4 linked regions of the Diceros bicornis minor genome follow. The main gene of each other region encodes a partner of the protein of the gene in region 3 in a complex. Links are inferred from orthologs where the notes say so. Each region holds a gene or a part of one and is shown on either strand. Other genes may lie near its edges.

Region 1 (8,324 bases), on a different chromosome or scaffold from region 3:
CACCTTCCTTTTATGAAAGGCTTTTATATCTAAATAAATAAATTACATATATATATTTTTTTTTTAAAGGAAAGCCTCACAATGGCATTTAAAACACCTACTCCTTGCTCTCCCCTACTGATTTAATAGACTCCCCTGAGATACTATTTAAATCTTTACCTGTCATGTAATTTCTTTTAATAGTGATTCTAAACATTTCCTTCATTGCTAATTGAGAAAAAAGCTATAATTTCTAAGATTTTCTCAACTAACAATCTGCTTTCAAAGTACATATCTATTCATCCACAACCATACATTAACAAAGATTTAGTGGTGACATTATGCATAAAATACAATCTTGACGACTTTTTGAGACCAGCAAAATATTAAATACAAATGATGACAGTAATTTTCTCAAGATCACATGCTTACACGTCAGCCAAAACTATCCGCGTCCGTGTCACATTCTCTATGGTGAATTTGGTTTTTCCTCCTTTGCCAGCGATTCTTCCTATTGCCCTTGACAGGTGGTCTCCCTTTAAGGGCTTAACTAAATGAGAAAAGCAAGATGTCAAGAGGTAAGCCATTCCAGTGTATTCCAGTACACCACCACTTCCACATAAAGTTTAATCATTAACTAAATTTCCCTACTAAAAGACACGAAATATGTATTTTTTAAAAAGCTGCTAATAATATAGCTCAATTGATGTTATTAGAAAGCTGACAGTCACACACAATACAAAAGTACAGTATTTCATAAGAAAGACTACCATACACTCACCATCCGTAATTTCAAAAGACTCCAGGAAGAGGTCATCCAACCTAATAAGGGCAAGTGCGTCCTACAATATAAAAATAAACACCTGAGAATGAGCGGTAAGCTAAAATTCACAAACTGTAGAACTAGAAAACTCAAAAAAAAAAAAAAAAACCCAAATCCATTGAAACATTCTTACTCAGTATTTTTCAAGCCCCCATTTCAGACGTCATGAAGTCACTCACCTCCACCTGAAACCCGAGAATAAAGGCTTTCACAAAATCAGCTGCTTTTGTCAGAGCACTAACATCCTTGGTTTCTTTACATGTCTGTTAAAAAAAAAATTAGCACAAATTATAGCTGGGGATGAAAAAGACAATATTCTAACAAAATACCTTTCCCATTACTGTAATTTCCTTCACCATCACCCTTCCCCAATATATTCTCTATGACTCTGTTTTTGGTGAGGTAAGTACTGTGTTTAATTTGCAAAATAAAAGGTTCCAGCTCCACAGCTGGGCAGTTCCACCCAAAGACCATCAAATGACCGACGATGCTCCTTGCCTGATTGGATTCTGGGACGATCAGCAAGATGCCTCTGGCAGAGCCCAATCGCTCACATTCTGAAGGGCTCCAGCCCCCGGTTCATCCCGTCAATGCCCAAGTTGGTCGTCTTCCCCTTCAGTCCAGTCTCCTGGGAGTCCTGATCTATCTCCTGACTTCAGTCATTATTTACATGCTGATGTTTCCCAAAGCAACAACTCCAGGACTAATACCAAGAATGGTTTAAGCAAGGATGGTACCCTCATGGAGTTTATTCAATAATCACAGAAATAGCTGCTATTCCTAAAATGCCTACCACTGTAAAAGATGCACTACAAAGGTACTTTGCACGCTATAGCTCTAATCTTCACGACAACTCTGAATGTTAAGTAATATAAATACTTTTACATATACATATATATTCTTTTTTGGTGAGGAAGATTCACCCTGAGCTAACATATATTGCCAATCTTCCTCTTTTGTTGCTTGAGGAAGACTGTCCCTGAGCTAACATCTGTGCCAATCTTCCTCTATTTTGTATGTGGGTCGCCACCTCAGCGCAGCTGATGACTGGTGCAGGTCCACACCCGGGATCCAAACTGCGAACCCCAGGCCGCCGAAGCAGAGCCCACCAAACTTAACCACTATGTCACGGGGCACCCAATACTTTTATATTTGAGGAAACTAAAGTACTAAAAAGTGGAAAAAGTGAGATTGAACACAGATCTGATTCCAAAACTGTTATTTCCACTCTTCCACTCACACAATCTAGTAGAAGAGACCACATATTTGACAAATTTAAAACAATATAGGGCTGGGGCCAGCCCGGTGGCGTAGTTGTTAAGTGCGTACACTCCACTGTGGCGGCCCAGGGTTCGCTGGTTCGGATCCTGGGCGCACACTGACGCACTGCTTGTCAAGCCATGCTGCGGCGGCATCCCACATAAAGTAGAGGAAGATGGGCACGGATGTTAGCCCAGGGCCAGTCTTCCTCAGCAAAAAAGAGGAGGATTGGCAACAGATGTTAGCTCAGGGCTAATCTTCCTCACACACACACACACAAAAACAATACAGGGCTGTGTAATGGCAAATTTAAAACTAGAGCCCAGTCCCAATCCTATATGTGACCTTGGGCAAGTCCCATAGACACTCTAGATCTTAAGCTTTCTCACCTGTAAAATAAGGAGGTCAGAGTAGGAGATCCTGAGAGGTCCCTACTAGAGTCACGATTCACTTATTACCTTGATGACTTTGGCTAAGATACTCCTTTGCCCCTCAGTTTCCTCACATCTATAAGATGGGGATATGTAAGTCATCCACCTCATAGGGCTGTCCTAAAGATCAAAATGATGTAGTGCATGCCAAAGCACCACTCTGTGTCTGGCAAAGAGTAGTATCAGCAAATGTTAGTGGAATCCAAATTGATAACACTGCAATACACAAGACAGCTAAGCACAATCGAAGTCTAGGCACTGACGACACGACTGAAAAAGGGACCCATCATAAAGGAGAAAGAACTTGAGCTAGACTCTGAAGGATGACTGGAACTGAGGTAGGAAGAGAAAGGGGGTAGGGAGGAGAGGGCCTTCTTCAGAGAGCAAAGCCACCCATAAGTGTGAAGATACAAATGTTCAGAGATGGTGAGACGAACTTAGGACTGAGACTTGTACTTGAAAGGCAAGTTCAGTCAAAAACTTAACTTTTATCCTTCAGAGACACTGAAGATACCAGGATATCATAACAAAAGCAGCATGGTCTGGGAAAATTAATCTGGCTCTGGCATAAAGGGTGGAGTGGTGAAAGGAGATTTAAAGCAATGAAACAACAGAAACCCATAAGGAAACAAGAAGTTTTGGCATGAAACCAGAAAAACCTGAATGAAAGTGGCAGTGGGAACGAAGAGGAGTTCTACTGTCAAGTTCTATATTTTAACCTTTACCAACTATTTAGAGAAGGGCCTCTCTGCATTATTCCATTATTCTGGTCTCTCAACAGAGATAAGTCTATAACAGCATTAACAGTCCTCAAAATGGAAGATGTAATTAATTTTGGTCATTGATTATGAAACAAAGTTGACATCCAGAAAAAGAAGACATAAGTCAATTAATTTTAATTGTCTAATTTCTGGACTGACATCATGGAATGAAAAAAAATACATATATATATAATTTATACTTATTCTCAAAATAATACATATTTTTCCCCAAAAGAATACTTTTAAAATATATATTGCCTGTACTGCAGCAAGCACTTGGGTTCATTATTTACATACTTCTGTTTATGATAACCTCTTTACTGGACCTCTTTGTTTTTTTTTTGGTGAGGAAGATCAGCCCTGAGCTAACATCCATGCCAATCCTCCTCTTTTTGTTGAGGAAGACTGGCCCTGGGCTAACATCTGTGCCCATCTTCCTCCACTTTATATGGGACGCTGCCACAGCATGGCCTGACAAGCGGTGCTTTGGTGCGGGCCGGGGATCCGAACCGTGGCCACCAGCAGCGGAGGGCACAAACTTAACCACTACGCCACAGGGCCGGCCTCTGGACCTCTTCTCAATTCAACAGAGAACATTATTGTACAAAACAGGCACAGGCATAGCCAGTATTTCGATCTCAGACCTAACATATGAATTTAATTAATATTTGTGTTAAACGCAGACCCTGAAGGCATTTGAGAAGTTCAAACTCACTAAATTAGAAAACTGGAAGAAAACCATTTGATAAAATAAGTCCCGTTAAGGAAAGTCTATTGGTGCATTTTCATCCCTGTAGGAGAAACCCTGCTATATTTGGAAATGCCTGACATTCTCCTTACCCTGATTTCTACATTCCTCGATTTCAAGTTAAAGCGTATCTGAAGTCCCAAATGTTCTACAATAGGAGTAAATATCTTCATCCAGTTCTCTTTTAACGGCGTGTATCTGTTAGCTGGGACTGGCACTTTCCTTGTTTCTTCTTTCCCACCCTACAATAAAAGAACACACAACTCAGGAGACGTCTGGAGGAACGGGCGTGGAGTTGTAAAGTGACAGCCCATCCACAAAAAGCTTCCTTTAACTGAACGAATTAAACTTCAGCAGAGTTACTTCTCTAATAGAAGTCAGAAGAGCCCCAGCAGCTTCAACATCACCCAGAGACCACCGGCTTGACCCGCCTCCGGCCCCTGCCCCGTTTCTGTCCCAGGGTCCCGCCAGTACCAGGAACCCGTCCCCGGAGAGGGGCGGGAAGACGGGCCTCTTCGCGGGTCGGGCCTCCTCGGTGTCCATGCGGCCCGCGTCCCCGCCCTCCCCCGCTGCGGACAGCGGCTCAGCCTGCCGTTTCTTCGCCCGCCGGCCACCCTTGCGGGTGACCTGGGTGAAGCCGTCCTCGGCCCCGACGCTCTGCGCCTCCATCTCGGTTGCCATCCCCAGGAATCTCCAGTCCCAGTGGGCGCTTCCGGCTCGACCACGTGCACTGCTGTACTGCGCAGGCGCACCTCCCGCAATCCGGCGTTCGCCAACCAGCCCCAGGGCTCCTCCCCCTTCCCTGAGAGGTCCCACGCAGGGGACCTGAAGCATGATTTTGTGTGTGTTTGTTGGTGAGGAAGCAGGGCTATCCTACAATATGCCTGATTCTTAGAGTTTCCCTCTGGCCCCGCTATTGGCAGCCAAAGTATTCTGTGATCTCTAATCTGTGTATGTGCGAAAGGCAGTAGGTAGAAACGATAAACGTTTGTGCCGTCGTGAAGAAAAATCTTGTGTGACTTCAGTAGCGCATCTGGCATTACCTGAGACAACTAAATCCAACTAGCGAGGGTTTAGGGGCGAGTACGCAAACGGAAGGGACAATCGTCAATATTTGGAGTCTGGTTTCCAGGTTAGTGTTTTGTCAGGGTCTGGGTGTGCCGGTTGGCAGAGGCGAAATCGGCTGGACCATGTCGGCCTTCGAGAAGCCTCAGATCATCGCTCATATCCAGAAGGGCCTCAACTACACGGTGTTTGACTGTAAGTGGGTGCCCTGCAGCGCCAAATTTGTGACCATGGGCAACTTCGCACGGGGGACCGGCGTCATTCAGCTGTACGAGATCCAGCACGGTGACCTAAAGCTGCTTCGGGAGGTGGGTGCCGGGTCGAGACTGCGCAGTTGTGGGATGTGGAAGTGCCGTTGTGGGGCGAGTGCGGGTCCTGGGGGAGGGAGGGGGTCTGCATTTCTTTTTTGCCAAAGCCTTCCTCCAGGGTTCCCGAGAAGCACAGTTCCAGCTGCGTGGGGCTAGCAAGCTGATCGCAGATTGAGGAATACTTCCGACATTAAACGATTTCGTTCGAGTCCTGAATTCTCCTCGGCGGGCTAGTTCATCTGCGCCCTGCCGGCCCCTTCCTCCATCTACCTCCAGCTACCCTCGCAGTCCAGCGCGAGGTCTCTGAAGTGACGTTACGATTTCGTGTCTAACTTGGAGGCCCTTCTGGGCGGTGCGCAGTTCTTTGTGGAGAGTCTGTTAATAGTGTGTTAATAACATGTTACCATGTTAGTAACATGCTTTTTCCACACAAGCAGAGCCAAAGCAGGCACCAGAATGCCTGCTGTGTAATTGGAGGAGACAACCTAACATTTATTCTCTAAACTAGTATCAGTTGATTGCCTGGTATTCCCAGACATGTGAATGACAAGGTCCCCGATCTCTTGGAGTTTATTTTCTAGTGGGAGAGAGAATCAGTTAAATAATCAAATCAACAGTGCACAAATACAAACTGAGATGAATTCTCTAACATAAAGGAACGCGGTTCTCTGAGAGTAAAAACAGGTTTGGGATGAGTAGAAGCTAACCAGGCCAAACTAGGAGTGGAGAAGGTTTCCAGAGGAAACAGCATATGTGGAGTTCAGCGACGGGAGAGAGGTTATCGCCTTAAGAAATATGAGTGGTAAGCAGGGACCAGAAGTCGCAAGATCTGTAGGTCATTTAAAAGATTTATGCTTTTTTTCTAAGAAAAATGGGACAGTGTTGAAGGGCTTTCAACAGGGTGTAGCAAGATCAGGTTTACAAGTTTTGTAAAGATCACTAGCGAAAGATTTGGAGAATAATGACATTAATTAACATTTTTATACCTGTTTACAGTTTTAAAAATGCTTTGACTTGGGTTGCCTGAAAAAAAAAAAGGTTAGTCATACTCAGGTGTTTAGGGTTAATAGACTGCAGGGAAGGCTGAGAACTCCAGAGATCAAAAGCTATGGAGAGAATCTGCTTGGAGGAGCTAGGGGTTAACCTGGTAGGTAAAGAATGAATACAATTTCCATAGAAAAGCTTAGATTAGAAGGTATGTAAGGCCCCTTCCCACTTTAGATTTCTATGAATGCCAGTTCTCTTGTTTAGTTTGTCTTCTCTAGCCAGGCACTCTACTCAGAGATCCTAAACATGGCTTGTTCTTTTCCACCTTTCCTTATGTTGTTCACCCCTTAGGCCCCAGTCACCTATTTCTATTCTGAGGTCCCGTTCAGATGATCTGATTTATGAAGTTCCTTCCTTAGCCCCACACAAAATAACTGTTCTTTACATTGCATTCATATGGTGCTTATTATCTGTGCCAGAGATATATCCTTCTGTCCCGTTTACCCCTGATTGGAGTGTAAGCTCCTGCAGAGCAAGAACAGTGTCTTTCTTGAGTGTGGTTTGTAAGGAGCAGCCACTCGATGAATGACTTGTTAAGAGAATGAGTAAATCTATGTCTGTAAAAGGATCTAACTTGGGAAACTTAACTATTGATTTACTGATCATTAATCAGTTGGAGTCCGGAGATTGAACAAATGGGAAACATTGGAATAGTAGAAAGAAACCTAATGGTGAAGTATTAGGAACCAATCAAAGCTTAAGCAGAGAGCATCTACAGGCTTGTGACTTTTTTAAATAAGACTCTATGACTTGTGTACATTTCAGGAATACACTTGTTCCATGAAGTGAAATAGTGCTCTTTGTCCCTTCTAGAGATTCTGGAGGATTCTAGCAAGTTTTTAAAAAAATAATCTTTTTAACAAAAGTTTTGTGTGTTTATGACAGAGCGTTTTAAAAATGTGGGTAAGAGGAAAATTACTATCAGCCATAATCTCAGCCCTAGGAGTAACCACTTTTTATATATTCACCTGTTTCCTTTGGGTCTTTTTTTTTCTGTCATAAACCATCTATTAAGACCCTATTATTTCAAGGTACTATGCTAAAGAAGGACCAAAGGTATTTGAAAGATGAGTCCCGTCTCCTCAAGAGCCTGCTGTCTGAAGAGAGGATAAAACATGTAGTAACACATTTAAGAACTTGTATTTGGCTATGATGATGCAGTGGAGAAGAATATAGGTTAAGTACAGGGTCACTGATTCCCATCTCTTACTGTGCATCAGGATCACCTGAATGTGTCTTGTTGCTGTTGTTTGTGTGTATGTGTGTCTTTTAAATATTCATGCCTTGGTCCCACCCCTAGAAATTCTGATGCACTGGGACTCGTGCGTCTAGACTAGAGTGAGGCCTAGACATCAGTATTTTTTAAACTTCCACCAGGTGATTCTAATGAATACCAGGGTTAACTACCATTGGACTAGATGAATTATTTATTAAAATGTTAGGAAACATTCTTGATTCTATCCTTGTGGAACCACCTCAAGTCATGTGCTCCAAACCCCATGCTTTGTATCCAAGATAAAGAGGAAGGAAGCAGATAGGTCTTGTTGATGCCTTCCTCGTCTTGTTGGGTAGATAGGGAATGAGGGCAGGGCCTCGTACAGATAAGCAGTTGGTTACACCACACATAGGTGCCTGGCCAAGGGTTCAGGTGAGAGCTGAAGTCCATCTATTTCTCATCAAGCCTTACAGATGTGAGACTTCATCAGCCTGTAAAGGGCACCTTTTTTCGAGTTGGTGCAAAGGACTAGGGTGGCCTGAAGAATGGAATTATAGTTGGGGATGTTTACACTTTAAAAATTAGTAATAAGCTAATAAAGTTCTGCTTTTTTAGCCCCTGTGCCACTGAATTCACTGCCTGTTAGCATTTGGTTGACTAAGCCTTTTAATGTTAATTAAGTAGTG
Region 2 (8,098 bases), on a different chromosome or scaffold from region 3:
GATTTCAGAGGTACATAGAAAAGAACTAGTCCTGGGGAAGAGGTAGAGCTGCTGTCTGGTGATGTTCCCGACTGTGCTACTCTGCTATTTAACCTTTCAAACTTGGGTTGTAAACTCACCCCTTACTGCAACCACTCCTATGTATCTTCTCTTCCCCACAGACATCAGACTGCGGGTTCGAGCTGAATACTGCCAGCACGAGACTGCTCTGCAGGGCAATGTCTTCTCTAACAAGCAGGACCCACTTGAGCGCCAGTTTGAGCGCTTTAACCAGGCCAACACCATCCTCAAGTCCCGGGACCTGGGCTCCATCATCTGTGATATCAAGTTCTCTGAGCTCACCTACCTCGATGCATTCTGGCGCGACTACATCAATGGCTCATTACTAGAGGCACTTAAAGGTGTCTTTATCACAGACTCCCTCAAGCAGGCTGTGGGCCATGAAGCCATTAAGCTGCTGGTGAATGTGGATGAGGAGGACTATGAGCTGGGCCGACAGAAACTCCTGAGGAACTTGATGCTGCAAGCATTGCCCTGACCTTTTCCCCTTTCTCACTTCTCTGGGGGACTGTTCCCACCACCCACCTCTGGAGCTTACATACTGTTCTGGGGTTTGTTCTCTACCCTTCCAACCAATCACACCCCTGCCTTTTTTTTTTTTTTTTAAAGGAAAAGACAAAGGAAAATGGAAGTGGTGTTCCCCACCCCTCCCTGCACCCATGTGCCTGGGCTTCCCCTTTGTTCCCCTTTTCCACTTATCCCCCTAATGTATGTCTCTACAGCCACCTTGCCACTGAGCCGTAAGACAAATGTATAGAGAGAAGCAAAGTCTATGGAACATAGTCTTTGTAAGGGATTGAAGTGAACACTGCTTTTGGGTGCATTGAGGGGTTATCAGTACTTCTGGCTTTATGGGGGCTCTTAAATTTTGTCTGAAAAACCAAAGGGCTGTGAGTAAGGGAGCTATGTGGAAGGTGGGACTCTGAAGTGTATTTTGGAAATTAATCACCACCCTCTCCCAAATTATAGAATTTTTAAAAAACAAAGAAGCTGTGGCCCTTTCCACTCTCTCCTGGCCTCTGGTGCTGCTCCTCTCTGCCTTGTTTCCTCCATTCCATGGCTTGAAACCTCTGCCTGGTGTGGTTCCTTTTCTTCCTTTGTCAAACCCTCTTCAAGGGAGTAATAGGTAAGAGGACTAGGTCAGCCTAGTCGCCTCTCCCAACTGTGGTGTGTGTGTGTACACACATACACAGGGTGGATGGAGAAGTTGTTGCTAATTAAAATACACTCCCCCTAAAAAGGGGAAGGGGGAGTGTGACACTTTCCTTCCATGTTCAAGTGAAAATAAATAATGTACCCTGCAGCCCTTTTCCCCTTTGCTTTCTTATGACTTGGGCAAAGGGCATCATAGGTGAAAGTGAAGTAATTCAATATCAACTCCTTTCTTCTTTTTCCTTCCCCATCCTCTACCCCCAATCCCACTCCCAAGCTTGGGAGCATGGGGCTGGGACATGCACTGAGTGTTGCACTTTTATTTAGGTGGGGAGGCATGTTGAGTGAGCCAGGAAGCCTAGAACTGGAGCCCAGTCCAGCTGGTACAATACCACCTCCCTTTCAGCTCCCAGAGGAGATGTCCAGACACAGACTTTATGATTATATTTTTTTCAATGCCAGTGCTGCTCAGCCCTCAGCGTAACTTCAGTTTTCATGAAATAAACAGTGACTACATAAAATTCCACTTTTCTGAAACTGAAATCTGAGCTCAGGTGCAAGTTTCTTCTTTCCCAAGAAGCTGAGCCTGTGTTCCATCAAGAGAGTCAAGGTTCCCCAAGTGAGGGGAGCTGTGCCTGGGTCCTGCCTACAAGTCACAGCAACACCAGCTCACAATGGGGGTCTCAACTCACAGAAGTCAAAAGTCTTAAGACCGTGGGTGACCCAGATTGCCATAGAGGTCAGGCCTGCGATGCTGGAATACAGGCAGGTGTTGGCGCAACTGTCGCAGATAATTGAGGTCAATTCGGGCAAGGCAGAGGCCTTGTCCCTCAGAGCAGCGGGCCACCACTGTTCCCCAGGGATCCACCACCATGCTCTGGCCATAACTTGATCTCTTCTCATGGTGGCGTCCACACTGTGCTGCTGCCACTACATAGCACTGGGTTTCAATGGCACGTGCCCGCAGCAACACCTGGGGATGAGGAGATGTGTGTTCGCGTAAGTAGACACAGGTGCTAGTGGGGAAGTGATAAGCAATGGACATTACAGGCCAATATACCCATCGGGGCCATTCTGATAATTGTTTAGGAATGATTTATTTATTCTTTAACATAAGTTAGGCAACGATCTGGGGAATGAATTTTCTCACTAGCTGGGAAGGGGAAGAAAGTCTTTCAACTGGTAGGGCCAAGGGAGAAGAATGAGGTCAAGAGAAGGCCCTTATATTTTGAAGAGGTGTCCTCTTACCTCCCAGTGGGCTGGGCCTGTTACAGATCCAAAAGCTGAAGGGTAGGTAAGTATTTCTGCTCCAGCCTGAGCCAATGCCAGAGACAGTTCAGGGAACCGCATGTCATAGCAGATAGCTAGACCAACCTGGAAAGAAAACGAGCCTAGTTAGCCCCCCTGTCCTGTGTGTCACAGCATCTAGTTATACCCCTGCTACCCATTCCTTAGGGCTTTCTATCCTCTACTACCAGGTCAAAGTATTCCTAATTCCCCTCCCTCTTGTTTGCCCACCCTTATCCTTTCACAACTCCCACCTTGCCTGCTGGTGTGCTGACAGGTGACTCAAGACTGGGCCCAGGCAGGGTAGAATTGCTTTCACGCATAGGTCCCTGCCCTGGAATCTCTACGTCACACAGATGTGTCTTCCTGTAAGTGGCCACTACTGACCCTAGAATAAGAGAGAGAAGGAATACTCAGTGCTGGTGCTTTAGAAGCTCAGCTTAGTTCTTCTCCTCCCAAGGAGGAGACAGTTTATAGGTATGAACAGAAGTACAAACACCCTGAAACCCTAGGCCGAGGAAATAGAGTTGAGAAACAAAACAGAATTCTGGAGAATCTTAGTTTAGGTAGAAGAGCCTGCGAAGAGGCAGGCTAAAGAGTTATGAAGTCTCACCCTTGCTGTTCAGAAGCACATGACAATTGTAGATTTTCTGAGTCTGCTCCCAGTCTTGGCCACGCTCATGGAAACCACCCAAGGACAGCCAGAGTCCACATTCCCTGGGAGGAAGGGACACTGACAACTCTTCTCAAGGCTCTACTCATATCTGGCAATCCAGGGACACTGCCCAACAAAGAAACTACCTCTCCCTCCCCCTTTCCCTGATACCTGGCAAGCTGGGTATATTCTCCCAAAAGGTTCCCATCCAGTGGCTCAGACAGGCGTAGCGTCTCTGCAGGATCTCGTGCAATGAAGTCAAATGCCTCAGGCAGAAAAGCCAGGCAAGAGCCCAGTCTGGCAGCCTCTCGAACTAGCTCAGCACAAGTTTTAAAGTTCTGCTGTTTGTCAGGTGTCGATGTTACCTGGCACACAGCCACAAGGGGCAGTTCACAGGAGGAGGAGGAGATAGCCATGGCTCTGGGTCTGTGGATGGCACAGGCAGGACTCACTTCCCAGCATGGGGAAATCCAAGTTTGATGATGAAGGGATCAAATGGGGAGGAAGGAAGGCTGAACTGCCCTTTGATTCTGTTCTCACAAGGCACAATGACCCACCAATCAAATGTTCTGTGGATGGCTGGTAGCCCAGTGTTTCCCACCATCCATTCATTTAACAAACACTTATTGAGCACCTGCGATGCGCCAGGCATTGAGGACACAACAAAACACGGTTACCTGGGCTGAGCACAAAGTACTGAGAGTCGAGGTAGCCGGAGTCCAGGACACAAAAGAAGGGACAGGAGCTGGTGAGGAGGCCTGATGATGAAGCCCAGCCTGAGGAAGATGAGAAATCAGGAAACCAACCCGTCCCTCAAGCGATAAATCTCTCGGATTTTCTGACTTCTCTCTTCATACTGTGAGGCTAAATCAGGGCTCTGCCAGGAAAAACTCCCGTCTTCAAAACACTCTTTACTATAAATAATTATGGGCTACAGGAAGAGATCATAAAGTGGGAAGATGGAGAAAAGGGCTCTGCTCGGCACCTGAATACCTCGACTTCTAGTGATCTCACATTAACCTGAAGCCCTTGTCCTCTGCCAAACTTTTCTGCAGTTCAAAAGTCACCCCCGAGAAATTTCCTTGGTTTTCTCAGCCTCTCTCCTTGACTGTGCACCTGCACAGCCTTACTGACTCAAAGCATATTTTCCCCATTACACCACAATCTCTGAGTGGAAGTTCACCCTCCCTGGTTCCCCACCACCCCGTGGTAGGCAAGGGGCACCGGCACCCGAATCCCAACCCGCGCCCCCACTCTCCAGTTGGCCCGTCCTTCCCCGCCTCCCTCAGGGGTAGCGTCTCTGCTGCACAAGTTAAAGCACCACAGGTGGAATTCACCGCGGCCAGCGGGCTAGGAAGCAGGTCCTACATGAAGGTACTGCCAAAACCATTCGCAGGATCCGAACCGAAAAGCGGCCTGGAAGCAGAGGCGCCGGGGGCGAGTGGGCGGTAACTCCGAGACCGGACGTGACGCAAGGCGGGGGCTGAGCTGCGCACGCCGGGAAGCCAGCAGGCGGCGAAGATGGCGGAGAGCAGCGGTCGCGCCGGCAAGAGCAGCGGGAGTGGCGCGGGGAAGGGGGCGGTGTCGGCAGAGCAGGTGAGGCGCGGAGAACGCGGAGGGGGCCAACGCGGCTGGGCGTGGAGTCGATGCGAGAAGAGCGGGGAGCCTGAGGCTGGTGCAGGCCCACATTTGCGTGGCCGCCGAGAGAGGGGAGGGTACTTGGAGAAGCTAGCCGAACCCCCGGGGAGAGAGTGGGCGGGTTGGTGGGTGAAAGCCACGCCCCCCTTGGGGTGTTGGTGAGCCTGGGGGAGGGGAAAGCCCTGAGATGCAGGGTCTGGGAGGATGCACAGGTCTGAGGGGAGATAGTCGTCACTTTCCCCACCTCTCCGCACCCTCAGACGGGGTGTGTATGGCAGGGCAAGACAGCTGGTAACGGATCTCAGGGTATTAGTCAACGGGCTGGTTGTGTAGTTTGTTACGTGACCCTGAAACCACGTTGACAGTCGCCGTCACTCTGCAGAGCCACGTGCGTGACTCACATACTCGATAAGTCTAGTGTTCCATACTATTTTAATTTGGGAGTCATTGTTAGATTGAATTTCTTTAGAGACCAGAAACCGTTTTTAATCCGAGTTTGCATTTCCCCCAGTGCCTGACATCGAGAAACGTTTGATAAATTAATTAGAAAGCCCTTTGAGGCTTGGGAAACCATGGTTTGCTGATAGTGGGGCTAGTGTTTAATAGAGGTAAGAAACCTACATAATATAAAGAAAAACGCAGTTAAACAACAGCTCTTTAAATTATAGTTTTATTTATCAGTTATTTGTTGAACAATTACTACAGGCGAGGGTATCTGCATAAAGATTTTTCAAACTGACCTATGCAGTCAAAGAGCTCATAGTCTGGTGGGAAAATAAGACATACAAAATGCTAATATGAGGCAGAAGATAAATTTTATCTTTAATAAAATTTATATTATAAAATTTATAAATTAAATATGAGGTATAAAGTGCTATGGGGTTTTGGGGAGGGGGGAAAGAGAGAGTTTCTGGCTTAAGGGAAAAAAGGGAAGTGAGAGGGAACCTAATACCCTTTTTGAGGGTCTGCCATGTGCCAGGAGCTCTGGTGGGTACAGGGAAACAGATAAATGAAATAGACTTTGTTTTCAAGTTAGCTCCAGACTCATTTGAGAAAAGACAAACGAAACAATAAGATGTACAGGGTTACACAAAGGCCCTTCTTTATGGCAGCTAGAGGAGGGACCTCTAACTAAGCAGGAGGTTATGGGATTTGAGGCATGGGTGGAGAAGGCAAGCTGTGGTATAGTGGGGTGGCCAAGAGTGTCAGAAGTGCACTGGGGTCAGTGGGGTGGGTCAAACCTGTGTTTGAATCACATTTCTCCTGCTTACTGTCTATAGATGACCTCCCATGAGTTAATTCTCTCCACCTTCCCCTCCTATAAAAACATAATGGTACCTACCTCATCACTGCGTTTGATTATTAGGCAAGACAATGCATGCAGTGTTTTGCACAGTGACTGTAATATACTGTGTATTTAATAAGTGCTAGTTATTTTGTTTTCTAGAGGAAATAATCCTTCAGCTCAATTCTAAAGGATGAGAGAAGTTAGTGAAGCAAAGAAGGAAGTGAAGGATTTTCTAGCTAGAGAGAATAATGTGTTTAAGAGCACTAAGGCATGAAACTGCCTGACATGTTTGGGGTGCAGGTGGAGTTAAAGTTTAGGATGGACTACCAGACTTGAATGTGGAGAAAAAGGGATAAAAGAGGATGTGTCTCAAGTTTTTGTCTTTGATGGATGCTGGTGCCATAGGGAATGTAGGAAGATGGACCAGTTTGGGGGGAAAATAAGTTCATTTTAGGATTTTGAGTTTGGGTTTCTTGTGGGACATCCTGGTAGAGACATTTAGAAGGCGGTTTGATTTATAAATCTTGAATTACAGAAAGAAATCTGAGTTGGAGATTCAGATTAGAGAACTATGAGTTTATGAATGGTAGATGAAACCATGATTGTTGATGAAGTCATCGGGGATTTGTACAGAAAGTGAAAAAAGAAGCAGAACAAGGGTGGAACCAATAGTTAAGGGGTTAAAGAAAGAGAGCCCTCAGAAGGGACTGAGGAGTTGTGATAATTGAGTTCTGAGGCTGTTCCTTGCTTAACATTCTCTTGCCTTTGTGCTTGTGTTCCAGAGAGAACACTGGGTAAAAAATAGAAGATTTATCACTGCTGCAAGTTTGATCCACATATGTCCCTTATAAACAAGATGGAAGCAAGTAACACATTGTGCTAGGCACTTCACTTGTTTTATCTTCTGTTATTTAATTACAGCCATTCGAAGTAGGTTGTATTGTCCTCCCTTTATAGATAAGGACATTTGAGTTTCAGGGGCTTCAGTGAATTTACCCAAAGTCAGTAACTGGAAGTGCAGGGCTTTTAATTGAGGGACTTGAGAAGCAGACCTATTTTTTCCGTCTATACTATGATCATATTAGAGATATTTGGGCTGAACCTGAAGGATTGGATAGATTTGAACAGGCGGTACTGGAAATAGAATGTAGGGACAGAGTAGGAAGAGGAGAGCTAGGGAAAGCTTAACTTGACACAAAGTGCAGTGACTGCTAAATTTGTTTAGCTAAATCATGAGGTGTAAGTCAGAAAGATGTGGCCATTAAGGCAAGCTGAGTCTTTGCATGGCAGAGAATTTAGGACTTTTTAATGTAAGCAGTGAGGGAGTCACAGAACGATATATATTATACTATTGACTTTTTTTCCCTGTTACATAAAATAATACATGTTCATTGTAGAAAATGTAAAAACACAGGAAAAAGTACAAAATAAGAAATAAATTACCCATGATGGTACTAGTAGTATCCAGAGATAACTGTTCTTACCATTTTGGAGTATATCCTTTGAGAGGTTTTTCCTCCCTCCTTTATGTTTTTGTATATGTGTGTGTAGATGGAAAGAGAAGGCATGTGTATTTTATGTATTTATGTATTTTGTTTTATAAAATTAGTATTATACAGTATATACTGTTTTGTAATCTACTTTTTAAGCCTAATAATATATCATGAACATTTTTCTGTGTCATCCAAGTGTTAGGAAAATTAAATTAGCAGTAGTGTGTAGGATGGATTTGGAGAGTCCAAAAATAGGGAGATAATTTAGAAGACTCTTGCAGTAGTTCAGACAAGAGATGATGAAGACCTGAACTAGGGTGATGTTAGTGAGCCTAGGAAAAATTGCTGATGCAATAAATCTAGCAGTTGATGGGATAAAGGTGTGTTCGAAGATGAAACCAGGGTTTCCTACCTGAAGGGCTAAAGTGGTGTCGTTAGCAGAAATAGGGGAGACAAGAAGAGGAACAATTAAAACGAGGTAAAAGACGATCAGTTCAGCTTTTGAATGACCTGAGTTTAAGGTAT
Region 3 (7,621 bases):
ACAACTCACAGGCCAGAGCCAGTGGGGCAGCCACCCAGGCTGCCTGGAGAATCGGGATATTGAACCGGTTTCTCGCTGCTCCCAGGCCCAGTGTAGCCGCAGCGCTGTCACCTCTCCAAGCCCCATCATCACGGTCCCACCTCCAACACCCCCCCAGAGGACTGCACCATGCTTGCCCCTTTTAGCCCATCCACAGCCAGAGGGGGCTTCACAAAGTAAACTCAATTGTGTCCTGTGCTTGCTCAGAACCCTCCAGTGGCTTCGCACTGATCTGAGAACAAAATCCAATCCCCTTACCTTAACTGGCAAGGCCTAGTGTGATCTGCCACTCCCACCCCCCACATCCAGCATAGGGGTTAAGACCCTGGCCTTAGAGAGGATCTGCCTTGGTTAGAATTCTGGCTCTTTTCCTCATTCATTCATTCAAAAATGTTTATTGAGCACCTTCTATGGTCCAGGCACTGTCTAGGCATTTGGGATACATCAGGAACAAATGAGACAAAAATTCCTGCTCTCACAGAGCTTCCTTTCTAGCAGAGAGAGATTAACAGTAAATATAAGTAAATTATATAGCATGTTGGAAAGTGAAAAATGTTATGGAAAAAAAGAAAAAGTAGAGCAGAGGAAGTGGATCAGGAATACTGGGAGTGGGAGGGTTGCATTTTTAAATAGAGTGGTCAGGGTAGGCCTCATTGAGAAGGTGAAATTTAAGCAAAGACTTATAGGAGGCAAGGGAGGGAGACATGTAGACATCAAGGGAAAGTGCAGGCAGAGGGAGCAGCCAGTGCAAAGGCCCTGAGGTGAGACTATGCCTGGCTTGTTTGAGGAACAGCAAGGAGGGGGGAGAGAGGTGGGAGATGCCTCAGAGAGGTAGGGCAGGTCACATAGGGCCTTGGGGGCCTCCGTGAGGCGTTTGGCTTTTACTGAGTGAGATGTGAGCATTGGAGGGTTTTGACCATGAATGAGTGGGGGACGCAGGACCAAGATGGAGAGGAAGTCAAACAGGGCTTGTGGATGTCGTATGGGTGGCAGCTCAGCCTGATCCCAGAGGGGAACTGTGGAGTATAAGTTACACCTCAGAGTTATCCGCCTACACGCCAGCATCCCAGGCAAGGCAGGTGGACTTTCCTATCCCTGCAGTGATGGGTCACAGCGTGGAGGGAGGGTAAGTCTCCCCGGAGCTCCGGCAGCCTGAGGGCAGTCCTCCCAAGGAGAGAAGGGGTGCTGGTCACTGAACACATACCCAAGGGGACACACAGAAACAGTAAAAGGAGACTCAAGGGGAATGGGTGGAGCATCATTCTTGTTGGCTCCAGTCCCCAAAGGCCAATGCCCCAGCAGCTACCTTCCTTTCAGCCCGGGCTTGAGGTGGCTAAAGATGGGGGCATACCCCAGTGTGACCAGGGAGAGTTTTTCTGGTTAGGAAAGACTTAGGGATCATCCCCACCCAGGCTGCAGAAGGATGCACCCTCTGCAAAATCCCGACCACGGAGCAGTCCAGTCATATAGACCTTCTGGGATGGGAACTAGCTACCCTTGAGTTAGCTCTGCTCATTGGATACTTTGGATTTTAGAAAGTTCTGCTTCATGCTGAGTCCACTCATTCATTCCATAAACACTGACTGAGCACCTACTGTGTGCCAGGCACCATTCTAGGTTCTGGAGACATTGCAGGGAACAAGACAGACTAGGTCCCCGCCCTGAGGAGCTCACGAATAGAGAGGGAGATGATTAGAGAAAAAAGATGGTGTGGTAAGTGCAGAGACAGGAGAAGCTCAGGAAGCTGTGGGGGCCCCAATTGTTGACCCTTGGAAATAGGTGACACCAAGCCAACAAGTGGGGGATACGTATTAGTTACACAGGTATACAGATGTGGGAGAAAATTAACCCAGGCTGATGGAGGAGTGTGTGCAAAGGCCTTGAGAATCCCACCACTGCTCACCATCCCCACTGCTTCCCTGGTCCAGTGACCATCCTCTCTTACCTGGATGATTGCAGCAGCCTCCTCTTGGGTCTCCCACAGGGGGGCAAAGAAGCTGGGCTATGCAGCCACTAACTCCTCTCTCTTCTTGGTTGAGGGCTGCTCCTGTGGGTAACTCATCGGCTTTCCCCACTCAACCTGCATCCGTGAGCTCAGAAGCAGGAAGCCACAGGCCTGTGCAGCAGTGTCTGCAGGCGACTGCCAGGGAGGGCCTTGCCCATTTGGACAGGGCACCTACAGCCCTTTCTATAGCCCCATATGCTTAACGCCGCCTTCCTCCTTCTGCCCTCATTTCTTACCTCTCCTCCTTGCTCATTCTGTTCCACCTACACTGGCCTCGCTGTCCTTCCAACTTGCCAAACAAAGGCTCATCTCAGGGCCTTGGTGTTTGTTGTTCCCTCTGCCCGGAATGCTCTTCCCCCAGATATCCACATGGCTCACTCCTCACCTCCTCCGCATCTCTGCTGAAATGCCAACTCTTCAGAGAAGCCCTCCTTGACCACCTTTTCTCAGACAGCTCCTCCCTCATTCCCTCTCCACCTTGGCCTGCTCTGTTGTTCTCAAAGCACTCGTCACCACCTGACATATGATACATTTACTTGTCCATGTGTTTATTGACGGTCTCTCCCACCAGACTGGAAGCTTTCTGAGGGCAAGGACCATGTCTGGTTTTGTTCCTGGTGGAATCCCTATAACAGGGCCAGGGCAGTGAATAAATATTTGTGAAATAGATGGTTCTGGAACATAAGTGGTTCTGAAGCAAGAGTTTTTCCAGGTCTGACTGTCTCAAAGTCTTGGGTATGACGTCCCTCCCCAACACTTCTAGAGGCCAGGGGTGCCCTCTAAGGGCCGGTCACGGCCAAGAAGCTGCCAACCCGGGAGGCTCCCTCAACCCTTCCCCATCCGGGCCCAACTAGCAGGGGTCAGGGGTCAGCCTGGTCCAGCCCTCTTTGGGCCCCAAAGAGGAGACCCAGTTCTGGGGTCCAGGCCCCAGGGAGGCCTGGTGAGCCCAGTTGCTCCTTTGGCAAATGTTCCCCCTTCCTTCACAGGGCCTGTGTCTGCGTTTCTGAACCAGAAGGTGTTTACACAAAACATCCTGGGTTTGGCAACAAATTCACCCTCAGTGAGGAATCCTTAATGAATCTCCTTCTTTCTCCATGCCAGGCGGCTGCAGGGATAATTAGCTGGGCCTCTAGCAGCTGAAGGAAGCCAAAGGCCAGAAAATGAGGAGGCGCTCCTGGGACTGCTGGGGCCACAGTTTGGGGAGAGTTTCTTTTCAAGATCCAGAGACAGCTGTGGTTGGAGACCAGAGCGCTTCTAGACTCACGTTTGCTTCTGATATGTGTGTGACAAAGAATTGCCCTTCTCCCGGCCTCAGTCTGCAGCCGTGAAATGGGGCAGTAATAACCCACCCATACAAAGGTTGTTGTGAAATTCAAGTAAGGCAAGGGGTGGAAAGGGCTTGGTTCCAAGGGGCCAAAAGGGGAGAATAAGACGCTGGACTCAGGGAGGCAGGAGGTCAGAGTTCTCGTATCAGGTCTGCTGTTGACTTTTTGCAGTCCTCATCGCCCTCTGAGCCTTGTTCTTCTAGCCGTACACAGAGTGGTTTGGGCATAACGATCTCTAGGGAACTCGCTGGTTATGAAGGGCAGCCACTTTCCACCTGCCTGCCTCTTCTTGGAGGTCCTCCCGGATCCTACAGTCCACAGTGATTCGCTTTCCGGAACTCACAGACTTTATTGCTCACTGCCCATGGTTTTCCAGCCCCTTCCTTGGGTCTAGGTCAACTACGCTGGACATTGGGCCCAACACAGGGGTTCAATGAACACTGGTCAAACTGAATTGAAAGTGATTCCTGCCTCCTTCTAGTCCTGCAGAGAGACAATGAGGGGGATCTTTATTGACTTCCGTTTTATAAATTGGAAACTGAAGGCGTCAGAGGTTCACTATAAGTCACACTGCCACATGGGCCTCCTTGGTGTTCCTCAAACAGGGGAAGAATGATTTATATTTCTCCAAAGCTCTCTCACGCGCTCCAGCCGCGCCCCAAAGCAAGGCCCCGCCTCCCGTGTCCGGCTGGCGAGCGTGCGTTGGAGCCTGCGCGCCACGGTTCTGCTTTAGTTGCGCATGCGCGCCGGCAGGCCTGTCAGAGCGGCGCCTGCGCAGGCGGAGACGGAGCGGAGCTAGAGTCGGCTTGTGTGGGAGCAGAGTCCGAGCTGGTGGGCTTCATGCTGTCGCCCGAGGCGGAGCGGGTGCTGCGGTACCTGGTGGAGGTGGAGGAGCTCGCCGAGGAGGTGCTGGCGGACAAGCGGCAGGTGGGAGGCCCGTCCGCGGCGCTGGGGCCGGGGTTGGGCGCTTGCGGCCTGGCGGCGGGCGCCGTGGGGAAGCGCGCGGGTCCGGAGTCTGGCTCGGGCACCGGCTCTCAGCGAGTTGATCCGGGCAGGTGCGCTGATGGTTGTGACGGTTGTGAGATAATGTGGGTCAGACGCTTGGCACAGCGCCGCGCTTCGCTCATTTATTCGGCCCCCATTAAGTGAGCGGCTGCTCTGTGCTAGGCCTTCCCTCTCCATCCTTCCTCTGCCCCTTGCCGTGCTGTCTGGATCCTGACCGTTGCTCCTTTGGGCGGTGTACGTGAACACGTTTTTCAAAATGCAGTTCCTGGGCCCCCTAATTGATCTAGGCTACACCGCCCGGGTCCAGGCCCTGAGGGGAGAAGAGGACCAGAAAAGAGGCCTGAGTGGTCTTGTGATGGCGCGGGAGTGGGGACGTTGGAGGAAGGTGGGGCGCATCAGGGGGGACCTTGTAGACCGGCCCAGCGATTTGGGTCTGGTTGTAATTGAAGTGTCTGAAAGGAGTTCATGGGGGCGAAGGGAGGATGATGGAATTGGATTTAGGTTTTAAAAGAATCCCTTTGGCCTCTTGTGGGGCACAGAATATAGTGGGGGACAAGGGGCCTGTGAGGGGCCATTGCCATGGTCCAGGTGAGAGATGCATTTGGACCAGGGGGGCGGTGATGGAGACAAGAGAATGGGTCTGAAATATATTTTGGAGATGGACTTAGTGGGCCTTGATGATGGTTACATAGAGGGGTGAGGGAGTGGGAGGATCAAGAATGGTTCCTGACTGCTCATCTGCAGTTAGAAAGATTGCGTGGGTGGTCGGGTATTTACTGAGAAGGGGAAGAGCTCATTAAACACTGCATCAAGGTGAGCTGGGTGATAGTAATACTAGCAGTTAAAGTTTATCAAGTACTTAGTGTGTGTCAAGTACTGTGCTAAGGAAGGTGAAATTACACAGCTCGTAGGCAGCAGGATTCAAGCCTGGTCTTGGGGCTCCAGAGCCAGTGCTCCCAGGCAGTATACCTCACTACCTCCTCACTTCCTTATTAGCTATTGCCATGTTACCACCATCTCAGTGCCCCCACCCCTGCTGTTCCAGTCTAGTATTTTAGGATTTCTCATGATACGAGGTCAAAATCAGATGGAGGAGCTAATCCAGGGAGAGGACTCCACTCCCCTGGTGATTCTGAAATGCCCAAGAGCTTGAGAACTAGTGCTCCAGTGGGTAATAAGAAATTATCCGTTTAGTCAGCAAACGTTTTCCCAGCATCTTCTCTGGGAGGAAGACACCTGCACAAAGCGTGGTCTTTAAGGACCTGGAAGCTGAGTGGGGAAAGAGAAACATTCATACATCAGCCCCTTTTAGACAGGACATTGGAAGTAACCCAGGAGTGACGCCTCGTTCTCTGTTAGGTTTTAAGAGCCCCTGGTCTGTTGGGGGGTGACAGGTAGGAGCAAGAGGCAGCTGAGTTCCCTCCTGCCCCTGTGCTTTTCAGATTGTGGACCTGGACACCAAAAGGAATCAGAACCGAGAGGGCCTGAGAGCCCTGCAGAGGGACCTGAGCCTCTCTGGTAAGTCAAGACGACATAATTACGTAATTGAAAATTGGGGGAAAGCCGAAGATGGAACTGGACGTGGGGTAGGTGTTGGAGGAAGGGATGGGGTTCTTTAGATGAGGCCAAGTGGCTGTGACAGGGTAAGCAGTGGGGGAGGGGTGCGTGATAAGGCTGGAGAGATGGGCAGAGGCCAGGCCATAATGAAGGGCCTTGGGGGCCGAGGGAAGAAGTTCGAGTTTTGTTTCAAGCGCCCTGGAAAGCCTGAAACCTTCCAGTTGCTTCTCATCTCACCAGAGTAAGACCCAGTCCTGCGAGACCCCAAGTAGTCCAGACCCACTTGAACTCTCCACGATCATCTCCTCTACTCTCCCCATCACTCACTCTCCATCTACACTGGTTTTCTTGCCGTTTCTAACACTCCAGGCACATTACTGAGCTGTTTCTGTTTCCTCTGCCTGGCTCGCTCTTTCCCCAGATGTCTGCAGGGCTCACGTCCTCACTCTCCTTACTTTCTTTGGGTCTCTGCCCAAATGTCAAAGAAGTGAGAAATTTCTCACACTGAGAAATTCCTCTCAGTGAGACCTTCTCGGACCACCTGGTGTAAGTAACAGGTCCCTCGCCTACTCTGGCATTGCCCATCCCTCTCACTGTGCTTTATTTTTCTCTACAGTACTTAGACTTGTCAGCGTCTGACAGAGCATATCTTTGCTTATTTGTTTCCTCTCCACCATTACAGCATAAGCTCTATGAGGGCAGGAACTTTGTCTTGTTCTGCTGTGTACTCAGCATCTAAAACAATGCCTGGAAGATAGTAAGTGCTCAAAAAATATTTGTTGAGGGAATGACTGTTTGCCATTTCAGAAGATGTGATGGTTTGCTTCGGGAACATGTTTATCAAGATGACTCACCCTGAGACGAAGGAAATGATTGAGAAAGGTAAGGCCTCCTGGGCACGGGTCAGGGACGCGGCTGCCTCCCACCCAGCCTCTGTCTTAACCCGGAACTGAGCGTCAGGCTTTGGGCAGCTCGACGAGAGGCGGCTCTGTTGACGGGTTCAGACTGATGTGAGTTTTAATCCCTGCTTTGCTGCCGAGTTATTTCCTCATCCCTAAAGGTGGGGTGCATCTATGTTGTGAAGTTGAGATCTAACAGTATGCCTGCCCAGCATAGTGCTTCTTTATCAGTGAGGAGCAGGGTGGGCCACAAATAACAGAAAACTCAACAAATGGAGGCTTAAGGAAATAGAGGAAGAAGTTGTCCAGAGGTGAGCGGTCCAGGACTGGCTCTGCTGTTTAGCAGTGTCAGCTTAGCATAGTCTCATGGTTGTTGTGTCCTCGCTGCAGGCCTCATGTCCACGTGCCAGGCTGGAGGAAAGGCAGAGGGCTTTCTCCATATGTGACCTTGCCTTCTATTTTGGAAGGAAGGCTGCCCTCCTCAGGGGCTTCCGACATCTCCTAGGCCAGCACTAAGTCTTATGGCCGCCCAGAGCTGCAGGGGAGCCTGCAGCGGGGGGTGAGCTTTGATTTTTCACATCCCCTGCAAGAGAGACTGAGTTGAAAATGCAGGTTTGGAGAGAGTGAACCTCTACGGTCTGCCACAGCCCAGCCCCTCCATGTATGTTACTCAAATCTTCACAGCCATGATCTTGGAGGCTCTTTGGAGAAGCATCATGAAGGCAAAAAGACAGGCTACAAATGGCCCCTTGTCTGGGAAAAGAGCAAGTTACGCATATTTTCTCTTCCCC
Region 4 (7,632 bases), on a different chromosome or scaffold from region 3:
ATCCCAAAGAAACTTACTTTTGCTTTCAGAAAGCATTTCTGTTCGGTCTGCAAGAAAGAATATGTTGCTGTTCTGTTGCTGCCTATATACTTTCTGCAAAACATAATTTAGGCTAATATCATGATTTGATCTAAAAAGTAGATGTCAAATCTCTGAACCCTATTATTGCTTATTCTTGAACTTTAGTAACATATACCTTAGCAAATACAAATAAACAAAAGTCACCCATTATCCTACCATCTAGAAACTGCTACCATTCACACTGAGGTGACACTTTTTCTCTGCATATACCACAATACCATTTCTCTTTAACAAAAAAGGCTACTGTAACTACAGACTTATAATTTGCTTTTATCCTGAACAATATATTGAGAACACTTTTTCTCAGTAGTAAGTGTTCTTTTACATTACTATATGAGTATAACATACTACAGTTTATTTGGTCGTCCTCAAGTTTTAGACATTTAAGTTGTCACCAACTTTTCACTATTATAAATCAATGTTGTGATGAACGTCTTTGTAACTAAATCTTTGTGCACTCCCATGATTCTTTCCTAAGTATTAATTCCTATAAATGGAACTGCTGGGTCAAAGTGTTACACAGTTTTAAGCTTCAATAAAGCAGTCTGCCAACTTGCCCTCTAGAAAGTTTGTATTAATTGTGCCTTAACTTCTAATATTCCACAAGTGACAGTATGAGAAATGTCTAACCTGTCAGTTATCAAATTATCTTTAAAATGCTGTAAAGGGCTCAAAATAATTTCTTCCTGAACTTTAAAATGTAATTTTTGATAGTATAACTACACATGAAGTAGTAGCTTGCTTGTTATGAATACATTAATGGAAATAGCATTAAATAACCATGTTAAATATTTGGAAGATCTGTGTAAAAATTTTTGGCAGGGAGGGGAAGCATTTATCTTTTTTGTTTTTCCAACAATTATCCACATTCACTTAGAAATAGTCTCCACTCTTCTCAACATAAAATTCACTTATTTCAAAAGAAAATACCACATTCAAGTATAAAATAAATAACATTACTGATTATAGCTCCAAGATACCACAGTACAATTTGTATCATTTGGTTCAAAGGTAATGTGAATTGCACATGATGGGGAAAAGATATCATCAACTATGATTAATCTATAGATATCTATATATGATATATATATAAAATCTTGGATGCTTTTCACTGTTGCAATTTAACTAAAAAGATGCTGAAATCTTGTAAATTTTAATATAAATATAAGTCATATATGATTCTTTTAACTTTTGTATATAGTTAATAAGATACAATCAAACCCTCCCACATACTATTCAGAATTACTCCAATAACTCACCCTGTTCTTCTTCAGGTTAGAAAGTTCATCCACAACAATTTTTTGTTCTTTAATCTATTGAAATAAAGAAAAACATCTTAAATCAGAGGTTCTCAAAGTATGCTCAATGAGGGTGCTTTAAAATTAGAGAGATGGGATAGGGGCCATAACGGGCAGTCTGTGACTATGCGGACTCTTGTCAACAGCAGTCTGGGGCGAGGAGGGGGAGACAGAGTTGGAGGAGGAAACAATGAGTAGACTTGCCAAGTGTTAGCCCATTGAGCCCAGCCAGGGAGTTTGGTGTTGGTAACCAGCATCCAGGCAAGGGCGGTAGTTACTAAACAAGGTTTATACCTTTTAGTTACACAATATGCACACAAAGTAATACCAGTTTTTCAATGATTTATGTTTTAGCTTTAAAAAAAGAAAAAAACCCAGCAAATGGAATGAGGGGTGAGTTACTCGCCCCCCCAATACCAATGGTTTTCATGATTTATGTATAAATGGTGCAGCCAGACATTCAGAACAAGCAAGTGGTACTAAATGCCCTACCTGGGGCAGTAAGACCTATCACTTTCCATCTTTGCTTTATTCCTCTTTATATCTCAAAGACTAACACAATGCTGGCACTGTTGAACTAGGCCTCGAAATAGGAGAGGGCTCCACTAAGTGGAAACAAAGTTTTTTTTCTAACTCTTTTCAGTAAAGGTAGTTATTCTGTGAACATGACTGATTACATAGTATCACTATTGCCTCTAAAAGCAGGTTTTATAAAATCTTTGTCCTACCTCAGGAACCTCAGGCATCTGTCATACATCAGTATAAGTGGCTTGCTCTGGTAGTAATCAGAGTGGGCTGTATGAGGTTTGAAAATTCACCCTTGGGGGGGGTTATTAGAGACTTGCCCAAGATGTCACTGTTAGTTTGGGACAGAACCAAAGTAGAATCTAGGACATCTAACACCTGAAAAGCTATAACCATCCCCATCTCCTATATATTTTTTAAAGGTTTTGTCTGTTTATGGCAGTTAAGATATATATTATATTGTCCCCACCTCCTGCCCCCTTTTTGGATGGAGGAGTGACAATCAAATCCGTGTTTTAGGATCATTGCTCTGGCTGATGTGGAGAAGAGAATGGAAGGTAATGATGGACGAAGCGAGACCAGTTAGGAAGCCTTTGCAGGGTAGATGAAGGTGGCTGGTGATAAACGGACATATTTGAAATGAGCTTCAGAAGCAGAACTGACAGGACTTCGCGATGGACGTCAAGGATGGTTCCCGGGTTACTGGCACGGACAACTGGATGGTTGGCGGTGACTTTTCTGAGATAGAGAACATCGGCGGCAGATCTGGGGTGGGCAGTATTTCTAAAAGTTTAAATAAAGAGAAAAAACCCCAACCAAATCTCCGCCTCACTGCCTCCTGGGTCTAATTTCGGTGCAAACTTCAGGGTCTGCCTTAATTGTAGCTGTCGAACGCTAAGAATAACAAGAGAGAAGCAGCTGGGCAAAGCCGAGAGCGGGCCACGCGGCCGCGGCAGACCTCCCCCGGGGCTGAGCGGCGCTCCGTCCCGAGCCTGCGGGCCGCTCGCCTCGTCCCACACTCACCTTGTTGCTAAGATCCTCTTTGTGAGGGGCTGAGTCGTCGGTAGGGACCAGCCCGGCGCCGTCCTCCGGGCGTGTGCCCCGGCTAGGCATCTCCACCGAGGGAACGGTACGCGGGACGCGCAGCGCAGCTGGCGCCCCAGGTGCCTCCCCAGGTGCCTCCAGCCTCCAGCCTCCAGCCCTCAGCCCCCAGCCTCCGCGCGTGCGCGCTCCCAGCGGCTCCACCCCCTCGTTTCCTTCCCTATGAGTCCTACCAATAGCTTCTGCGCACTCACTGGAACGCCTGCGCAGTCCGGGTTTGGCGTGGGAGCAGTTCCGCGCGTGCGCACAGATGCTTAGGGAGCGCGTGAGCAGAGCCTGGTTGTGAAATCGGAGAGGTTCCTGAACTGTCCGCTAGCGGATCGGCTGTGGAAACGGCCTTGTGGTCTCCACTCCCTCGCGTTCTGTAGACTGTGAGTTATATGCGCCCCCCAGTGGTCAATATAAAGAATAGAAGCGCAGTAGAACTAGACAATATTTATTATCTAGGCAAGGATGTGAAGCTAGGCACAGATTTAAGAGACACGTTTTTGGCAACAGAACTGTACAGACTTGGTGAAGTTTTTGTTAACTTGTTATTGGAGTTAAAAGATAAATACAGAATGCCCGGTTAAATATGAATTTCAGATAAATGAATGATTTTTTAGTATAAGTATGTCCCTTGCAATATTTTCAGAATCTCGCTCCAATGAGAAAAATTATCCAAGACTTGGAAATAGGCGAGAGATTACTGGGTGTTCTTTCACAGCTTTTCTGGGCTTGACTTTCTATTGACTGGGGTATTTTAACAATTCTGGAGAGGCAGAGGTAAACGTGCAGATTTTTGTCTGGCAGAGATGCAAATAATTTCTATCTGGTGGGCCAGATAACCCCACAGATTATGAATTATTGTTCTGTAATATATTAAGCAGTTTTGTATCTAACTCTGCAATCCTATCCTAACATTTCTTTATTATATATGCCTAGCTTCTCATAAACTCTCTGAATTGGTTTTAACATCTTACCTGTTCCCTCATTAATTAACGAGCTGAATAAAACTTTGGCCTATGTTCATTTTACATGTGTATGAGAGACGTGGTTTTATATTTTTGAAAATTATACTTTAACATAAGAAATCTTAAGTTTCCATGGAGATGCCCAAGTGAGCTCATGTGATGGAGCCAAACTGTATGGCTAAGGAAGTGTATGTCGTGGGTTGTTTCAGCCCAGGCATTTCTTTTATTGCCTCTTACAGTAAATCCGAAGTGGTTATAGAACTGTTTACTGTATATTTTTAATTTTTACTGATTTTTAGAAATTTTGGTTTTGTTTCTGATTTACGCATGGCTGATAAGTTATTATACATGGGTAGCAGCAGTGATTGGGAATTTGGTTTTATGGTCTAATGATTTGGTGATATCTGTTGGATGATGGAGATCTAGTCTCTATTAGAAAAGACATGACAGTGAATCCAGTTTTTTAGTCTTTTTGTTTGTCCTTTGTGAGCTCAAGTTAATTAAGAATTTCATGCTCACTGGAAAGGAGAACAGGTTTTTGAGATCTGGGCTAGTGAGTTTTTGTGTTTACTTTCAACCTGGGATTGAGGTTGTAAAACTGAAGCTATAAGCTCTCTCTGTGTCTATAATTTAGAATAGCCTTTATATCTTGTTGTGTGAATGTAAAATGTTTTCATACTCCTGGAGGGTATTAATAAATTCCATTGTAATGTCTCTTAAATTAGAGGAACTCTGTTCTGATTGGTCTACAGACACAAATATGCATTTGTGTAAATCTCCCAATTTAAAAAAAGCCCAGAATTTCTTTTTCTTTTTCTTTTTCTTTTTTTTGAGGAAGATCAGCCCTGAGCTAACATCCATGCCAATCCTCCTCTTTTTGCTGAGGAAGACCAGCCCTGAGCTAACATCTATTGCCAATCTTCCTCCTTTGTTTTCCCTTTTTCTCCCCAAAGCCCCAGTAGATAGTTTTATGTCATAGTTGCACGTCCTTCTAGTTGCTGTATGTGGGGCATGGCCTCAGCATGGCCCGACAAGCGGTGCGACAGTGCGCGCCCGGATCCAAACCCAGGCTGCCAGTAGCGGAGCACGTGCACTTAACTGCTAAGCCACGGGGCCGGCCCCCAGAATTTCTAATACTTTGAGTGCTAGACTTATAAGAAAAAAAGTCTTGCTTACAAAAGCTGCTAGCTTAGAAATATTTGAAGAATCCAAATTTATAAAATTAAGGTGAGTCTTTGGAGAAATCAGGCTAGATTAATAATTTTGGTTTAAGAAAGAAAAGGCAATTATATATCTTTTCTATATTTATCAATGTTAAGTAAAATACAGGTACTTTTTAAATAACACTTAGATTTGTTTTCTCATGAAGAGATTAGCTAATCTGAATTTCCTATGCTCTTTATGTTGGTTTACTGATTAAATAAGCTAGCATTACTGCTATGGAATATTTAAGTTTATGAAAAATGTAAATTTGTGTTCACTAAAACGAGTAATTATTCAGACAGACTTTTTAGATCAACAGTAATTATGTTTTATACCATATAAGTTTAAACATAATTCAAAAATATTTAGGTAATTAAAACTCTGAGGTAATATTAAATTGAGTTAATTAATGATTAATCATTAGATAACTAGATAATTTACTTTTAAAAGTTGAATCCTGAAACATTGATTAATAGAAGCATAATTTTAAGTTTATATACTTTTGCTTCTTGTTTTTATTTGCCATAGAATAGCTATCCTTTTGAGCCATGTTAATGGACATGTTCATTTTTCCCACTTTCAGAAGGTTTAAAGGGAATGTGTGTGGCTGTAGACAGTTGTGTTATGTGTACTTATGAGCTTCATTTGCTAAAATGCTTGCATATGACTGTTCTCAATTATCTACCTCCAGTTCTTTCTATGAAATAGAAGTTATTAAATTGGTTAAAAGTTATAACTAATGTGAGTGGCTAAGATCACATTAGGGGCAAGAGTAACAGAGAATGCAAGGTAATGGGATGAGCCTTGTTTGCAAGGAAAAAGATAGTTCTAAAGTAAAGTATCCTTTTGTTCCAGAATATGAAAGAGCACAGTAAAAGATGAAACTTGAGGAAGTATAGCAAGTTGGAGAAGGTTTGATGAAAGCGGATTTTATTTGCCTTGATTTGTAATACCTGATCCTGAAAAGAAACTATGAAATATGTTAAAACTTTGGCAAAACGCAGTTTTGAAGCTTTAGTCACAAGATAATTATTTTTTTTAAACTTTACTTCCAAATATTATATTAATTAAAAACTAAAATTTGGCATTCTTTTAACCCATCTTCTGGCTCCATTCACCAACACCTTTAGAGTTCACCACAGTTGAGCTGGTGGGAACCTATGAACACACCTCCCCTGACACATGGGATGTCATTTTATTAGTGCTTGGAGGTAAAGGTGAGGCTTATCTGTAAAGCTGAAGAGACTGAGCTTCAAATTAGTCTCTAATATGTATGGCATATTAGTCTTCTTTGTACCCCACCTTCTATGGCAGTGGCTGGCAGAGTGGGAGCTCTGGGTAATGTTCGAATTGACTCTTTGACCCACAATCATTTCCATTTTCAGTGGCCGGAAACACTGCTGATGGGTCTACAGCTGTTCACCTTGTTCTGGGGGTGAGTTGTTGCTTATGGCTCTGCCTGGTTCTAATGTTTTTGTTTATTTACAGGGGCCACCCAAGATGACATAATACTAAACCAAGTGGTGATGGTCATATTAGTATGGTGCTAAACTGTTTTCAAAGTTCTTTGACATTTTATCTTATTTTTTCATGTTTATCCAATTGCTTCTCTTTTCCCCTTCAGCTGCTGTAATTCCTGCGTTGGTTGAAGTCACGCTTTAGGGATACCTGGTATCGTTTGTCTTTTCTGGTTCGGGACTGCCCATCTGCAGCCCACTGTACAACTAACTAGGCTGTTTCCTTCTTTCATTTAAGTCCATTGTTGTCATGTATCCTACTTAATAGGATAATTTTGTGTTTATCAATGCTATTTATGCTCTTCCTCTGATGCTACATTCTTAGTATATTTCATTGTGTTTAACAATACATAGTTCACTGTTGAACATTTTATGGAAGTGATGTGTATTATTAACCTGGATTCCAAGGTTGAATGAATAGTTTCCTCAACCACTGTGTTTTTCCTTGCCTTCTCAGTATACTCTAACAGATTTATTTCTAGCCACAGAAGTCTCCTTCCTGTCTCTCCCAATGAGGTGTGAAATAGTGCTGTGGTTCCCAAGTATCAGTTAGTCTGTGGGTGCCCTTCTCAGTATATCAGAGCCCCTGAAAATCTTGTTCAGATGCCTATAGATTTCTCAGTCTTTTCCCCAGATTTACTGAATCAAATCTTTGGGAATGGGATGCAACTGTCTGCTGCATAACATAGTTATGCATTTAACCTATAACCAAAATGACTGGGCTTGAATTTTGGCTTCTACATTTATTACAAGTGTGACTTTGGTATCTCATTAGCCTCTCAAGCCCCAGTTTCCTAATCTGTAAAATGGGAGTAATAATAGTGCCTACCTCAAAGGGTTGTTATGGGGATTAAATGAGTTAATATTTGTAGAGTGGTTCTAACAGCTTTAGGCACATAGTAAACACAATCTGTGTGTGTTTAATAGATAAATCAGAAGCTCTGCCAGACAAAT

The links.
Region 1: PDRG1 (region 3) and DNAAF10 share a complex: the UniProt entries of both Homo sapiens proteins name them as parts of the PAQosome complex. The link is inferred for Diceros bicornis minor from reciprocal best matches to the Homo sapiens genes PDRG1 and DNAAF10.
Region 2: PDRG1 (region 3) and PFDN2 share a complex: the UniProt entries of both Homo sapiens proteins name them as parts of the PAQosome complex. The link is inferred for Diceros bicornis minor from reciprocal best matches to the Homo sapiens genes PDRG1 and PFDN2.
Region 4: PDRG1 (region 3) and ASDURF share a complex: the UniProt entries of both Homo sapiens proteins name them as parts of the PAQosome complex. The link is inferred for Diceros bicornis minor from reciprocal best matches to the Homo sapiens genes PDRG1 and ASDURF.

What each region holds. Positions count from the first base shown.
Region 1 is NC_080751.1:20,032,755-20,041,078, forward strand, and holds the start of DNAAF10 (dynein axonemal assembly factor 10), read left to right. Parts: upstream 1-4,881; 5' UTR 4,882-5,192; coding exon 5,193-5,375; intron 5,376-8,324. Other genes in the region: RNA-binding protein PNO1, read right to left, coding at 412-529, 761-821, 982-1,065, 4,095-4,244, 4,477-4,683. UniProt on the Homo sapiens protein: Key assembly factor specifically required for the stability of axonemal dynein heavy chains in cytoplasm.
Region 2 is NC_080743.1:67,691,137-67,699,234, reverse strand, and holds the start of PFDN2 (prefoldin subunit 2), read left to right. Parts: upstream 1-4,646; 5' UTR 4,647-4,675; coding exon 4,676-4,750; intron 4,751-8,098. Other genes in the region: DEDD (death effector domain-containing protein), read left to right, coding at 162-538; NIT1 (deaminated glutathione amidase), read right to left, coding at 1,919-2,185, 2,461-2,586, 2,754-2,887, 3,113-3,216, 3,326-3,570. UniProt on the Homo sapiens protein: Binds specifically to cytosolic chaperonin (c-CPN) and transfers target proteins to it. Binds to nascent polypeptide chain and promotes folding in an environment in which there are many competing pathways for nonnative proteins.
Region 3 is NC_080758.1:27,578,433-27,586,053, forward strand, and holds the start of PDRG1 (p53 and DNA damage-regulated protein 1), read left to right. Parts: upstream 1-4,138; 5' UTR 4,139-4,209; coding exon 4,210-4,296; intron 4,297-5,816; coding exon 5,817-5,892; intron 5,893-6,738; coding exon 6,739-6,813; intron 6,814-7,621. UniProt on the Homo sapiens protein: May play a role in chaperone-mediated protein folding.
Region 4 is NC_080749.1:68,664,176-68,671,807, reverse strand, and holds the start of ASDURF (ASNSD1 upstream open reading frame protein), read right to left. Parts: upstream 3,098-7,632; 5' UTR 3,018-3,097; coding exon 2,928-3,017; intron 1,395-2,927; coding exon 1,341-1,394; intron 94-1,340; coding exon 18-93; intron 1-17.